Oryzias latipes: one gene and its partners. The protein of the gene in region 1 purifies or fractionates together with the protein of each later gene. This does not show direct contact. Links are inferred from orthologs where the notes say so. Each region holds a gene or a part of one and is shown in the gene's direction. Other genes may lie near its edges.

The links.
Region 2: the proteins of rnf41 (region 1) and clec16a purify together in Homo sapiens (affinity purification with mass spectrometry; 3 studies listed by BioGRID and IntAct, with this or other methods). This does not show direct contact. The link is inferred for Oryzias latipes from reciprocal best matches to the Homo sapiens genes RNF41 and CLEC16A.
Region 3: the proteins of rnf41 (region 1) and cacybp purify together in Homo sapiens (affinity purification with mass spectrometry; 4 studies listed by BioGRID and IntAct, with this or other methods). This does not show direct contact. The link is inferred for Oryzias latipes from reciprocal best matches to the Homo sapiens genes RNF41 and CACYBP.
Region 4: the proteins of rnf41 (region 1) and soga1 purify together in Homo sapiens (affinity purification with mass spectrometry; 3 studies listed by BioGRID and IntAct, with this or other methods). This does not show direct contact. The link is inferred for Oryzias latipes from reciprocal best matches to the Homo sapiens genes RNF41 and MTCL2.

Annotation. Positions count from the first base shown.
Region 1 is NC_019865.2:22,240,751-22,243,098, reverse strand, and holds the end of rnf41 (E3 ubiquitin-protein ligase NRDP1), read left to right. Parts: coding exon 1-11; intron 12-97; coding exon 98-452; 3' UTR 453-1,831; downstream 1,832-2,348. UniProt on the Homo sapiens protein: Acts as E3 ubiquitin-protein ligase and regulates the degradation of target proteins. Polyubiquitinates MYD88. Negatively regulates MYD88-dependent production of pro-inflammatory cytokines.
Region 2 is NC_019866.2:16,880,626-16,884,197, forward strand, and holds part of clec16a (protein CLEC16A), read left to right. Parts: intron 1-1,129; coding exon 1,130-1,135; intron 1,136-2,191; coding exon 2,192-2,315; intron 2,316-2,461; coding exon 2,462-2,636; intron 2,637-3,244; coding exon 3,245-3,295; intron 3,296-3,572. UniProt on the Homo sapiens protein: Regulator of mitophagy through the upstream regulation of the RNF41/NRDP1-PRKN pathway. Mitophagy is a selective form of autophagy necessary for mitochondrial quality control.
Region 3 is NC_019875.2:24,410,132-24,414,306, reverse strand, and holds the start of cacybp (calcyclin-binding protein), read left to right. Parts: upstream 1-1,312; 5' UTR 1,313-1,425; coding exon 1,426-1,443; intron 1,444-2,317; coding exon 2,318-2,528; intron 2,529-2,625; coding exon 2,626-2,722; intron 2,723-2,801; coding exon 2,802-2,901; intron 2,902-3,240; coding exon 3,241-3,335; intron 3,336-4,175. Other genes in the region: mrps14 (28S ribosomal protein S14, mitochondrial), read left to right, coding at 143-307, 495-677. UniProt on the Homo sapiens protein: May be involved in calcium-dependent ubiquitination and subsequent proteasomal degradation of target proteins. Probably serves as a molecular bridge in ubiquitin E3 complexes. Participates in the ubiquitin-mediated degradation of beta-catenin (CTNNB1).
Region 4 is NC_019865.2:5,989,323-5,992,894, reverse strand, and holds part of soga1 (protein SOGA1), read left to right. Parts: intron 1-3,421; coding exon 3,422-3,572. UniProt on the Homo sapiens protein: Microtubule-associated factor that enables integration of the centrosomal and Golgi-associated microtubules on the Golgi membrane, supporting directional migration. Preferentially acts on the perinuclear microtubules accumulated around the Golgi.

The DNA of each region.
Region 1 (2,348 bases):
GAGATCCTGGAGTAAGATCAATTCCCCCACTTGGTAATCTAAAATCAAACCGCTTTTGAATTTTCATGTGGTTCCTAACCCTTTTGCATCTCTTCAGGTGGGTGAACTCCATGCAGCCTGCCAGGGTGACTCGCTGGGGGGGCATGATCTCCACGCCGGACGCTGTGCTCCAAGCTGTCATCAAACGCTCGCTCATCGACAGCGGCTGCCCCCTCTCAATTGTGAACGACTTGATCGAGAATGCCCACGAGCGAAACTGGCCTCAGGGACTGGCCACTCTCGAAACGCGGCAGATGAACAGGCGCTACTACGAGAACTATGTTGCCAAGCGGATTCCTGGCAAGCAGGCAGTGGTGGTGATGGCCTGTGAAAATCAGCATATGGGGGAGGATAAAATACTGGAGCCCGGCCTGGTTATGATCTTTGCCCACGGAGTGGAGGAGATCTTATAACTTTATCACAAGTTGAGCTCTTCCAGAGACAAGTTGCTCTTTTCACTGTAGCGTGGAAAAGGTCTTTTCTGTTTTGTTTTCTTCTTTGAAGTGAAACCTGGAATAAATCTGGCTTCTTAAAAATAAACTCTTAGGCTCACTCTTGAGTTTACTATCTATGCCTTAAAATAAGGACAAATACTTTATGAACCTGGCAAATATAAACAAAATCTGACATGGATGTATAAGGTTAAAAGTGAGATGTTTACAACGTTTATATTTAGTGCATTATATGAAGATTGTTCTGCTCTTGAAGGGATTTTTTTTCCTTACTTGTGATGTGTGGAGTACCTATGAGCATTTCGTGTTTACCTGATCATCCTTATGAACAGTATGTTTTTAGGTTGATTTTAAAAAGAGAACCACATTTATTCACAGCTAAACGCTAAGCAGAAATGTTTGTCCATCCAGTTTTCTCTTCAGATCGAGTTATTTCTGATGCTGAGAAAATGTTTTTCTCATGATTGTCACACTGGCCTGCAGGTTGGACGGTATCTGCTCAGACGTACTTCACAGCTGCTTTTCCAGGGAGTTTTAAAAAGGAAAAAAAATCCTTTTTTTTCAAAAATGGTAAAGCTTGAACCCCATTTAATGCCCTCTCTTGTACAAATTGCTTGTAAATACAAATACTATGTAGAATTCTAATTGTTCCACTCATCACTGTAATTATAATTGTAATTTTATGTCGGCTGTGAGCTGATGTTACCGTTTGCAGGCAACTCTGTGATTTTCGCTGTTTTTCCACTAGACGTTGTGCTTCTTACTTTAGATTGTTCAGACCTTCTGTGCCATTTGTTTTATTTATTGCGTTGCCTTTTTTGCAAAAAAGGTTTAAAGGTGTTATTTGTTTTTTTTTTTTTTAAAAAGGCGCCTTTTGGAGTGAACCTATAGGCCTGAGGATGAACGGATTTGTGTTTCCTTTTGATGCCTCGGTTGTACATATCTGTATTTTGGATCCAGTTGAAGTGTTAAATCTTAAGTCCTAATATATGAAATCTTATTAGATATCAGTTCAATTTAAGTCAATAATTCACTCTTATGCTAAGTCATCCATGTATTTTCAATTATTAAAATGTAGGTATAAGTACTGTCATTTACGGAAAGCATATTTTTAGTCACATGTACGAATGAAAGATTGTAGACATATTGTTAAAATCACTCATTTGAGAAGAAAAATGCTTTTCATTAGTCCTTTATTGCTGTAGTATTACAAAACTACAACCAATGGCTTATAAATCTTCAATATAAAACTGTTCTTTGTTATTTTCCATGTCAGTGTTTTGTTTTTGTCTGTTATGTACTGTTTTACAGGCTAAATGTAATAAAAGTTCAAACATTTTCTCACTAAGTTTATTTGAATCACCTGATTTTAAAAAGCTAAAGAAAAAAACAAAAAAACATGTAATTCTGCATTTTACCTCAGCATGTCATCAAAGGTCCACATCAGAAATGAATAATGACAGGAGAAGACTGAAAAGAAGGTGTTTTGGAGATCTGGAGTAAAGAGGTACTCGTGTGGATTATGAAACAGAAAAGGCCATTTTAACTACTGATTCCAGACAGAGGTCTGACCTCACTGGCTCTTGTCCTCAACGTCTAACATGGACACCCACATGATTTCCCTTTTTGTTTTTGTTCGTTTTTCTCTTCTGTCAGGTTCATCCACATTGTAGAGCTTAATCCTCAACCATTGTGATCAGTGGAATGTGAAATCACGCTCTACGCTGTGCCTCATTTACTGTCAGTTTGCATTATGTGGTCAGATGCTGCATGGTGTGCAGCTTTCCCAAATGTTGGTTTACATGTTTAGTGAATTAAGCTAAACCCCAAAACTAAGGAAACGTGTGACCTGTAGTC
Region 2 (3,572 bases), on another chromosome or scaffold:
TCGCCTACATGTGAACACCTGCCTCTGCCCTCTTGCCATGAATTCCTGATTCAGCAACTCTCATAGGGTGCAACTGAACTGCTGTCATCCATGATGCAAAATGCACTAAATTCCTCGATATTGGCTTTTAAAAAAAATCCCTCCCTAATCATCTTTTGATCCGTTTTAATAGCATAAGCATTGAAGAGCTGTACAGTTTTGAGCCAGATACCAGCTCAGGCAAGGAAAACGTGTATATTGATGACATAAATGGATCTAGTCGTCTACTGGTGGATACATCAGAATGGGGCGGAGCTGGGACCTTGTGACCCGGCCATCGTATTTTTTAAATCACAAATATGATCTCTTTCAAACATGATTTCTTCATTCGCCACTGAATCACAACAGTTTGAATGAAGAAATACTCAAAATTGCAAGTTTAAGTTAAATTTTCTTGTAAATGTCCCCCATCATCATTAAGAAATGCTGGAGGAGGAAAAATGCCCCACCCACACACACACACACACACACACTGCGAAAAAACTGTGACAAAATAAGCCAAATATGTTCAACTTTAATTCCATATCAAAATCTTAAACATTTCTGCTGCTAGAAACTGGAAAAAAAAAAAAAGGTTCATTCACTTTGTAAGAACTATCACATTGAACCTATATGCAAAAAGAAACAAAAAGTTGTGTTAATGGCTTTAATATCTGTGTTAAAGGTTTTTTCACTCTTGAGGAATTGGAGTAAAAGTTTTTTTATAGCTCGAAATTGAACTTGATGCTTCTTTTATCTAAATTCTAAATTTATATGTACCTCAACAAATAAAATACTTGGAAAATAATTTCCACTACAGCACAGATTTTTCTCCTTTAAAAATTCTTTAGCCTTTTAACTGTGAAAAACAAACAAAAAAACAACTAAAAATGAGCTCCAATATGTCTGGGTATCATTGAAATTCCTGTCCAAGTTTGTCCATTGTTTGCAGTTTTTGCTGCCTGCAAGCTTGTCTGCCACAACGCCACAAACGCCCTTGTATTCACATTAACCCTTGTGTCTGTTTCCCCTCTCCAACTACTCCTCCTACTCTTCCTCTTCTTGTCTCTTTCCTCCTCTTCCTCTATGCACCCCATCTGCCTAACTGCAGTTTCATGTAAGTTGGTTCCATTCATTCAACCTTTTTTTTCTCTCAGGGCTGGGTTTATCAACAAAACGCTGAGTCAGTGTATTCTTTACGTTTTTTATTTATGGGTACAAAAAGTTTTATTACATCTGTTAAGTAATATGTTTTTCACTATTTTAAAGTATATACTGTATGTTAAAGTAAATCTGTCATTTTTTGTTGTTACCCAGCCCTGCTTGTTCCTAATGGTATATATTTAAAAACAAGGTTGCAATGGTGTCAGGTGTCACGGCCTGCGTCACGGCTGCAAGACCTCAGTCAACTTCGAAATGTGTGTTTTTCTGTTGTATGTCTGATCTTGTTCGAGTGGTACTGGAATTTAAATTTCCCCTTGTGGGATTAATAAAGTATAATTAAATTGAATTGAATATTATTGAAATGTAGCTTTCAAATACACATGTATGTACTTTGATTGGCCCTTTACCACATTCTTGCAAACATGCATGCCAAGTTTTGTCTTGATTTTGTTTTTCTTCTTTTTGTGTGTAACTTTTAAATACTGACCTCACATATTTGCTCATTTATTTAGTTTTTCTTTTGGTATTTCTGATAGTTTTGTGACTCTCTATGTTGATATTTTGGCTGCTCATTTGTTTCCTAGCATCCTTTGTTTACTCTTATAGAAAAATGGATTCTAGTTTTTATTCCCTCACTTAGGGGTGAATATAGAGATCTAGACTGTACTGTTTTGTTTTTTTTGGTTGCTGTCATTTTTTCAAAATCAACAAAGAAGACATCTTTTGAAGTATCTCAATAAGACCTAATCGGAGTACAGGCTTTTTATTCTTAATGCTTTTGATTTGAAATGGTTTTTTTTTCTTACTTTAAATCTTAGAACATTCATTTTTCAAAATAAAATACCCATTAGTTCTTCTATTGTAAATAGTTAAGGCTTTGGGTTTTATTTCTCGTTTTTGAGCTTTAACTCATGTTTTTATGTTATGTTGTTTACTTAAGATCTCTTAATGTTTGAAGAGCATTTTTTTTTTTACTTTAATCTCTGTTTTACTCTGTCATTTCCTCCAGTGGACAACCAGCACATGCTGCACTACATTCGGGATAAAACCGCAGTCCCATATTTCAGTAACCTGGTGTGGTTTATTGGTAGCCATGTCATCGAGCTGGACAAGTGTGTGCAGACAGATGAAGAGTAAGTTCTGCAGGCTCCTGCAGTGGCTTTTAGAGGTCAGGTTTGTGTCAGGAATGTTAGCTTTATCTTCCTTCTAGATTACCTGTTGATTTACAACCCCCCCCCCACACACACACAAAAATGCCATGTGTCTGCATCTACCTCAGGCATAAGAACAAAGGAAAGCTGAGTGACCTGGTAGCGGAGCATCTCGACCATCTCCACTATCTGAACGACATCCTCATCATCAACTGTGAATTCCTGAACGACGTGTTAACTGATCACCTCCTAAACCGCCTCTTCCTGCCCCTCTACGTTTACTCCTTGGTTTGTCCTGAAATAGTATGTTCAATTTAATTCAATTCATTTTTATTTATGTAGTCCTAGAACTAGACAGACCCTGGGCATCCCTGCCCTTAGACACTCATTTTCGGTTACCCACTGTCACACCTGACTGACTTGGTTCCATTCATGCTGTTGGATTTAAGTGAAGATCTTTAAAATAAAAAAAAATAAAAAATTTAATTTACCATGCATGTCTTTATAATGCAATGTGTTTCTGTGTCATTTTTTAACATTTACTTCTTGTCTTTTGAATTGAATCATCAGTACTTTTTGGGTAATTTTTTAATAAAGTTTATTTGTAGTTTTTTTTTTTTTTGTTATTTAACGTTTCGCTCAGATACCTGACTCTTCCTCAGCATGGTTGACACTTGAAGCTATATCTTCATTTAAGTCACCTAATTTTATTTTTGAAAATGCGAACATCTGTGAAAAAGTGAAAAAATCTGATTTTCCAACTTCTCCATTCCTGTTTGACACCAATATTCACATTTTCATATTTAGAAACTAAGTGAACACTTGAAAAAACAACGAACGTGTACATTACGGTAAACAATAAATGTGGTCTATTTGAACCATTTTTCTTAACTTCTCTTTTCTTTTTTCAGTCTGAAGAACGGAAGATTAACCCTCAGGTGTCCCTTTACCTGCTGTCTCAAGTAAGCAGCACAGCTAACACTGGTCATGACCAAAGTGCCTCATTGATGTATCAATCATTCTTTATCAGCTTTTTGAAAGGCTCAGTATGTATTTCATTCATACTATAAAGTTGCGTTCATACCAAACATCATTCGCACAAAAAATTTGCATCGGCCGCCTCTCATTCCCTGGGTGGCATATTCTCTGCTTGCCGCCTGTCCAAAAATGTGTTCCTTAGCTTGATGCCCTGGCCGCGTTGGGAAGAGCTTCCAGCTTATGTTTTTAGCTTAATTGCTA
Region 3 (4,175 bases), on another chromosome or scaffold:
ACTTCTTTTACAATATTTTGTCAAGCACCTCTTGCATTACAGAACTAAGATCAAGTGAAAACTTAAAACCAGAGAAAATAGATTGCAAATGTGTGGTAAATGGAGAGAAACCTGTCAGAAACTTGATGTGTGTTGTGTGCAGGCACTAAGAAGCTGCTGGGGAGCTGTGGAGCAGATGAGAAGCTATTATGTTGACTGGAGGATGCTGAGGGACGTCAAAAGAAGACAGATGGCCTTCGATTATGCAGATGAAAGGCTACGGATCAATGCATTAAGAAAGAATACTATCCTGCCTAAAGAGCTTCAGGTAGGCTCCAGCTTCCTATTTACAACTAGTTCCTCATTGTGCCACACCATAAGTTTGACAGTATGCTCTTATTATTTAAAGAGTCACGATTTTACAAAAGTTCTAGTTGCACACACAATATATGTCAAACAGCTGAAAGTACACCAGTAGCGGACAATCCCTAAACCCTGTCTAATTGTCTTCATAGGAGATAGCAGACAAAGAAATTGCAGCACTCCCGAGAGATAGCTGCCCTGTGAGGATACGCAACAGGTGTGTGATGACTTCCCGGCCCCGAGGAGTGAAGCGGAGGTGGCGACTGAGTCGAATTGTATTCCGACACCTAGCTGACCACAACCAGATGTCAGGGATTCTCAGGGCAAGGTGGTGAATGTGGTCTATTGGATTCGTCTGTAAGATTGTGTGTTAACAAAGCAATGCAGGTTGCAGATTTCTAGAATGTTGTGTGAACTTAAAGAAGTAATGCAAATATTGAGTATTTAAGCTCGACTAAGAGTAAAAAAAAACAAAACATAATAAATATTGTTGTACAAAAGTGTCCTGTTTTTTTTTTCCTTCTTTTTTATGTGGTGGTAATAAACACAAACACTGTGTTTATTGTGGAGAAAAATGCTTCTGAATGATCTACTGATGTGAAAAGTTAAAGCCATCATTAAGCATTCATGTGCTGTGTAATTTTCAACACGGCTGTTTGAAGCTTCACAGTGTTATTAAAGGATTAATTTATGGTGTTTAATTTGAACATGATGGTATTTCTAAAAAAAAATAAATAAAGTGTCCCAGTGATACAAGTTGCTAAATGTTTTTGTTGTCAGGTCATATACTCACCCTAAATAGAAATAGCTGCTTTAAAATAAAATAAAAAATAACTCGTGAGTATAAATATTGCCACTAGTAATTTACAGTACGTAAAATCTGCTAAATTTAAAATAAATATATCTTACTGTTGTGTATTGTTCTGATCTTACTTATTCCAACCACTGGGTGGCAGTAATGAGATTAAAGGAACTTTTAACAGCAGGAAATAATTCTAAAGAGGGCCAAACCAAATTGTTAGAACTCCTCACTGCGAAGAGCTGTGCTGCTTGACAAAACTGAGTGGAATTTGAAGAACCAGAATGGATCTAACGGAACAGGTAAGAAACATGTCTTGGCCAAAGTATTATTTTAGAAGAAAAAATCATTGTCTATTTGGATGAGTTTGTTAAATTTACGTCGGTCTCAATAGTTGGGCGATGTGTTGTGTTAGCTGTCGGTTAGCCGCTTGCCCTTAACGGATTTTTTTGTATGCTTTGCTTTGTTTCTTTCTGTCTGTATATTTTTTTAGACGATTGTTTGAAAAGCTTGTTTAGTTTGTCACAGTGACAAACGTTGAGGGCGAGAAAAGTCCCTGTGATGATTGACGTTCAGTTGTGCTCATGAAGTTTACTAGAACCTTCTAGCAACATCACGCTCGCGGGTTCTGCGCTACACTTCCTTCGGAGTTGCTTTATAGCATTTTAAATGATAGAAAAACGATTGAAAGCGACAATATCTCAATTCCTATTGGATGCTATTGAATATCCTTACTCGTAAATGTTGAGGTTTATTTTATTATATGTCGTGATAATTAAACTTAAGTCATAATAGAGCCATGCTTTGCTTTGGTTTTTATATTTTGATTAAAATCATGTGAGTTTTGCTTTTAATTAATGCTTTTTTATGTTTTTAGGTGAATTTCTTAATCATGTCTTTGCATAAATGTGTTTAATCGAACAGTGTACGTTAAAACATTTCCATAAGGGACTTGCAGATCTCATCATTAGCAGTTCACACATTTGAATTGGTTCTTAACTGACTTAAGTAAAGGTTAGATGTAGAATTTCCAGTCAGGAAAATGAAACTTTTAAATTGTACTGTTTTAGAAGAAGCTATATATAAGTTAAATAAATAAATAAAACAGACTTGATACAAATAGTTTGCTTCATCAAGATCAGCTTGTGCAGTGGTTGTTCCTCATTTTTCTAACAGATCAGTCAGCTGGAAGCAGACTTGCAGGAGCTTAGTTCCCTCCTGGAGAAGTCTGAGAGGAAAAGGGTGCAGGAGCTGCTGAAACAGGAGCAGAGGAAAGTGGAAAAAGAGCTTGCAACGAAACGACATCAGCAGGAGCAGCAGGCTAAGAGAGAAGCCGATCCAACAGCAGGCTCTAAAGCACCATACACAACTAAAATCACCAACTATGGTATGGAGCATGTTTGAGAGATTACAAGTGTTTGGAACTAAAAAAAAAAAAGAAAGATTTGAAGAATTGTTTGTGGTTTTATCTTTTGTATCTGTAGCATGGGACCAGTCAGACAAATTTGTTAAAATTTACCTGGATTTGAAAGGTGTTGACAAAATCCCAGCAGAAAATGTTGAAGTCAACTTCACTGAAAGGTAAATCCACTTATCTTACAGTTTTGTAAGGAGCATTCATACATTTTTTTATGCTAAGCCTAATTTTGTCTTGGTTCAGGTCTTTCTCTGTTTTGGTAAAGAATCTAAATGGGAAAAATCACCAGATGTCAGTGCTCAACTTGTTACATCCAATTGATGAAAAGGACAGCTACAAAAAGGTGAGTCACTTTTTCTCTTGTCCTTTAAATGTTCCTCCAGTGTTTGTTTGAACCAGTAGCACCATGTTTTTGTTTTTGAAAAAAGTATTCTTTGCAAAATTTGGTACCAAAATGTCAGCCCCCTTTTTTTTTCTTTCTTTTTTTATCAAAAAACCTTCCCAGTTTTCATACTCTTCCGAATCAGCAAACAAAAAACCAACAAAGGATTTTGGAACCTAAAAATTTGCTCACTGAATTTTTTGGATTACATATCCATTTATTCGGCATATATGTCCCCTTTGTTTTTACAATTGTATTTTTTCTATGTCACTAATTTCTTACTACTTTTTTTTGCAACAGATCAAAACAGACATGGTCTTGATCATGTGTAAGAAACAGGCCACAAAGAAGTGGGACTGTCTAACAGCAGTGGAAAAGCAGTCCAAAGAAAAAGAGTAAGTTCAGAATAAACCTCTTTTTTAATAACTAAATGTGTTTTTCATTAATGTTTAGCTGGAAACACAACAATGTTTGGCCAGTTTAATGTTGGGCAATATAGAGGAAATGTATTTATCAAGTCAAGGTTTCTACATAAAGTCTAAAGAAAAAAGTCATTATAAAAAAGGTCTGTAGATTTTTACAGGAGACATAGATTGAATAGAACAAAGTTGCTGACATGTGAAAAGGTGCTTCTGATGAATGAAAATTGGATAAAAGCTAAATTACAATCCTTTGTGAGAAGACTAAAGCACTGGGTCAACTCAATTCAGGCTCTGGTTATGCTTCAGGACAAAAAAATTTTATCATATTTTGTTTTTAAATTAAATCTTGAACCATTTTATATTTATTTTTACTACATAGGAGTATTAGTTTCTTATCAGAGACCTTTATTATTTAGTTTTCCTTTTGAAAAATGTCCTAAATGTCCTGTTTTTACAAGTTATCACAAATCAGAAACAACTACCACAAACAAGCAGCATTGTTTTGTTTTGTTTTATTGCCATTCTCTATATAAAATCTACAGACATTTTTAGCAGACTTAGAACTTTTCATTTTGGTGTAGGACCCAGTAAATTTAAGACCTTTTCCCGAACTATTAAAGTGGAAGTTCAAGAAAAAAAGAGGCTATTTGTAGCCTCATTGGACCTTTAAGGTGTGGCAGATAAATATAGCAAAACAAAATAACACAACTGCCCAGAAAATGTGTTTTTATAAGTAAAGTAACATTATGGGGCCTGGTGCCAAGTGACCCACAGACTGTTACCAGTCTGTAAAGATACGCTAACCTGATTCAA
Region 4 (3,572 bases), about 16 Mb from region 1:
CAAACTAGCTAAAATGTCGACGCCTGCATAGTGCAACTCTGAGTTTGCGTGTGCGCGCTCAGGGGTGCGTGGCTGTTTTACCCTGACCTAGATGCCACAGTTGGATACAATCTCCATACCAAGCAATGCACGTTTTGATCTAAGCAATCAATTTACCACAGAGGTCTGTGAGTGTGTGTGTGTTTCTGTGAGTGTGTGTCTCTGTGTGAGACCACACATGGCAGACACTTCTCAACAAGTCAACTCAATTCCAAACACTGCTCTGCTTGTCAGACAGCTGGATGAGAAATTATCCCCACTGTTCAGGCGTATAGACAAACACTGTCAGCAACGTCCAAAGTGCTGAGAGCATGACAGATAATACAATTTTTGTTTTGTTTTGATAATTTATAAAGATATAAAGATCTTATAAGTTCTGCACTGATGCTTCAAGTCCTTTTGGTTAATAGCGATCCATCATGACTGTCACACACATTGTCATTGCTGTCATATCTGTAATGACTGAGCGAACAGCTGCACTCTCTGATCCCTTCTGTATCACATCTGTTTATCCAATTCCCTAATGTAGAGAGGTATGATTTATTGGTTAATATGCGAGTATATTCTATATTCTTTGTATGCAAATGAAGTAGTAATAAATGGTTCACTGACATCTTGATTGTAAAGTTCTCACTACATTCATACGATTTTTCATTGACAAACCTTTGATCCATTACCTGAATTAAATCTTTTCATTTAACTTTTTGCATTCAAAAAGTTCTTTCTAGCACCTCTACAGTTTGACAGAGATCCTTCAAAGGGCAAAGTTAGCATATAGTGCGAGACCATTTAAAGATCTACATGGATGAATATTGTGTTTTTGCTGTTTTTAACATTTTGCATTTTTCTGATGATGGAGGACATATATGAAGAAAAATACGCTTAAAATGCATTTCTGAGTATTTCTTTGTTCAAATCATTGTGAATCAGGAGCAGGTGGTCCTGCCCACAACTCAGAGGTGAATTTCTAATGAACTACTGCTGCTCTGCAGAAACTATGTCCTTGAAAACAACCCAGGTTTTTTTAAAATTTTGGCTAAGAACGGCATAACCATAATTACCAATGGGAACACTTTTAAAACAGCTAAAAATCCATAACAGGTCCTTAAATCCACAACAGTTTTAACAGCAATTTATTGCATGCACAAAAACATAAAACGTCTTAATTTTTTTTAATGTATAGATTAAATAATATGTCACAAACATCTACAAAATCAATAAAGGAAATGTTTTATATGTTACAAAAAAATCTGGAAGTCTTAGTGGGAAAATCTGCATATTATTTTTTCACAAGACATGTAAAAGTCACCAAAAAACACAACAAAACACAAAAAAATCTGCTAGATTTTGAAAATTATACATGTAACTTAAAAACATATTAGCTCGTTTGGTTTCAACACCACTTCTTTAAGGCATTTTTGACCTGAAGGCAGATGTTAACCAGCTATATATTACTTTCTTATATAATCCAGGATAAAGTTTTTCAGCGAAAGCTTACACTTCATCTTTTGTTTGTAGCAGTGTGTAAAGATGGAGAGAATGTAAAAGGACAAAAAAGAAAGATCAATATTGCATGGCAGGGATTTTCACAGAGACGAGCCTGTGATCTGCTACTGCTCATCATCAATTTGTATGCATAACCTTTAAAATATATTCATTATATTAGCAGCTCTGCATGTCAGCATTTCTAGAACTCCAAACCAGTTAAGGTGGTAACTTATTATTTGATCATGCAGGCAACTTTGACTTTCTAAAAAAGGTACAATTTTCTTTTTTAAGCTTTAAAACCAAAATATATATTGTCTTTTTATTAAAATGTAGTCATCTTTACCTTAATAAGAACATCTTATTCAAAGACAAATCATTATCAACCCTTTTATTTATTGCCCTTTTTTTTAGTTTTCATGTTTTTTTCCTCTGGGTTATTCTCGTAAAATGTAATCACTGTTCCTCTGTGCGATTTTACACATTCAAGTTCATAAATTAAAGTAGGTGTACCTGCTTAAAATCAAGCGTCATTGATCCACCAGTAAGCAGCTGTCATCCAAAGAAGTATAGTCACCATTTTACAGGGAACCTCGTTGTTAGTCTATGGAGACTGGAGCTGGGCTAAGTCTGTGGGTGTTTCGCTGTGATAAGTTACCTGACATTTTCATTAGCTGCTAACACAAATGCCACGGAGGCAAACAGAAAGGCAGAGAGCAGATAGATGGGTCTGGGTGTGTTTGTCAAGCAGATGGGCTGCTATAGACCCTGAGGCTCAAACAGGGGCGGGAAAAAAATGCAGAACTGCTTATAAGAAGTTGAAGTGATCCCCCCTACAGGATCAGTGACAGCAGCCAGATTCAGAGTGAGAATGCTCTAAATAAAGGGTGAGAAAAATGCAGCAGCACGGAAGCTTGAGGAAATGTGCAAAGAGAGGGTGAAAAGGGTTTGGGGGGAGAGGAGGACTGACAGGAAGGTTCAGAGACGGTGCAAAGAGGCAAAGGTGGGACTTCACAAGACAGATGTGCATAATACATTTTTTTTACCAACCAGTTAATCATTTATCAATTACCTCTACCATCTGCTCAAGTCGGTTTCTTTACATTGCAGCCTTAGCTCAAACTGTCATTAAGTACATCTTCATAAAACTCTTAGAAGTATTCACAAACCATTATCACTCTTCCTGATCTGCACTGTTCAAATGTTTAATGAGATGTTTTTTGTCTCATTTAAGCAAAACGATGATTCTGATCACTTTACGCATCAATGTTTTACAAAGACCAGGAAACCAACCTTCAGTTCTTCTAATAGCTGCTTCAGATTGAACTGTGCATTTAAGCAAGCATATATATATATATATATATATATATATATATATATATATATATATATATATATATATATATATATATACATATATATATTTGCCTAATAATATTTGTTTTCGAGCATATAATGTGGGCATTGCCTCAGGTTTTTTTGTTTTATTATAGTAAAAAAAGCTTTAGCTTTATCACATGGTTGCATTTGAAATGTGTTAGATATATTATATATTAAGGTAGTTATCATTTTTGCAGGGGTAACTATTTATTCATTTTTGAAAAAAGACAATGTTTGATTAAATGAGATGCTTTTTAATTTTAATTTCTAATGATCTGACTCTTTTTTTTTAGTTAAAATCAATGACTCCTCTTGTTTTGAGGACCAAATTTGTCTGATTACAAAGTTAGTTAATTTGTTTATTTACATGGATTTTCCTCTCCAAGCACATTTTCTGTGTATACAACGCAAATTAAGTTTAATGTCTTTTAAAATTGTTGAGACAAATCTAATGTTTTCACATTTCAGTACAAAAAAAGGAACCATTTTTATGAAGGTTTTTGTTTTTGTCTTCCAGCTTGAGGCCAAATCTGGCAAAGCCACCGTAACTCTTTCTCCAAGTGAAACACTAGACACCTCAGACCTGAAGGTGGCGCTAAAGAAGGAACGCGCGGAACACCAACACCTCCTGGCAGAGTCCTACGCTGCTGTGATGGACCTAACCAAAC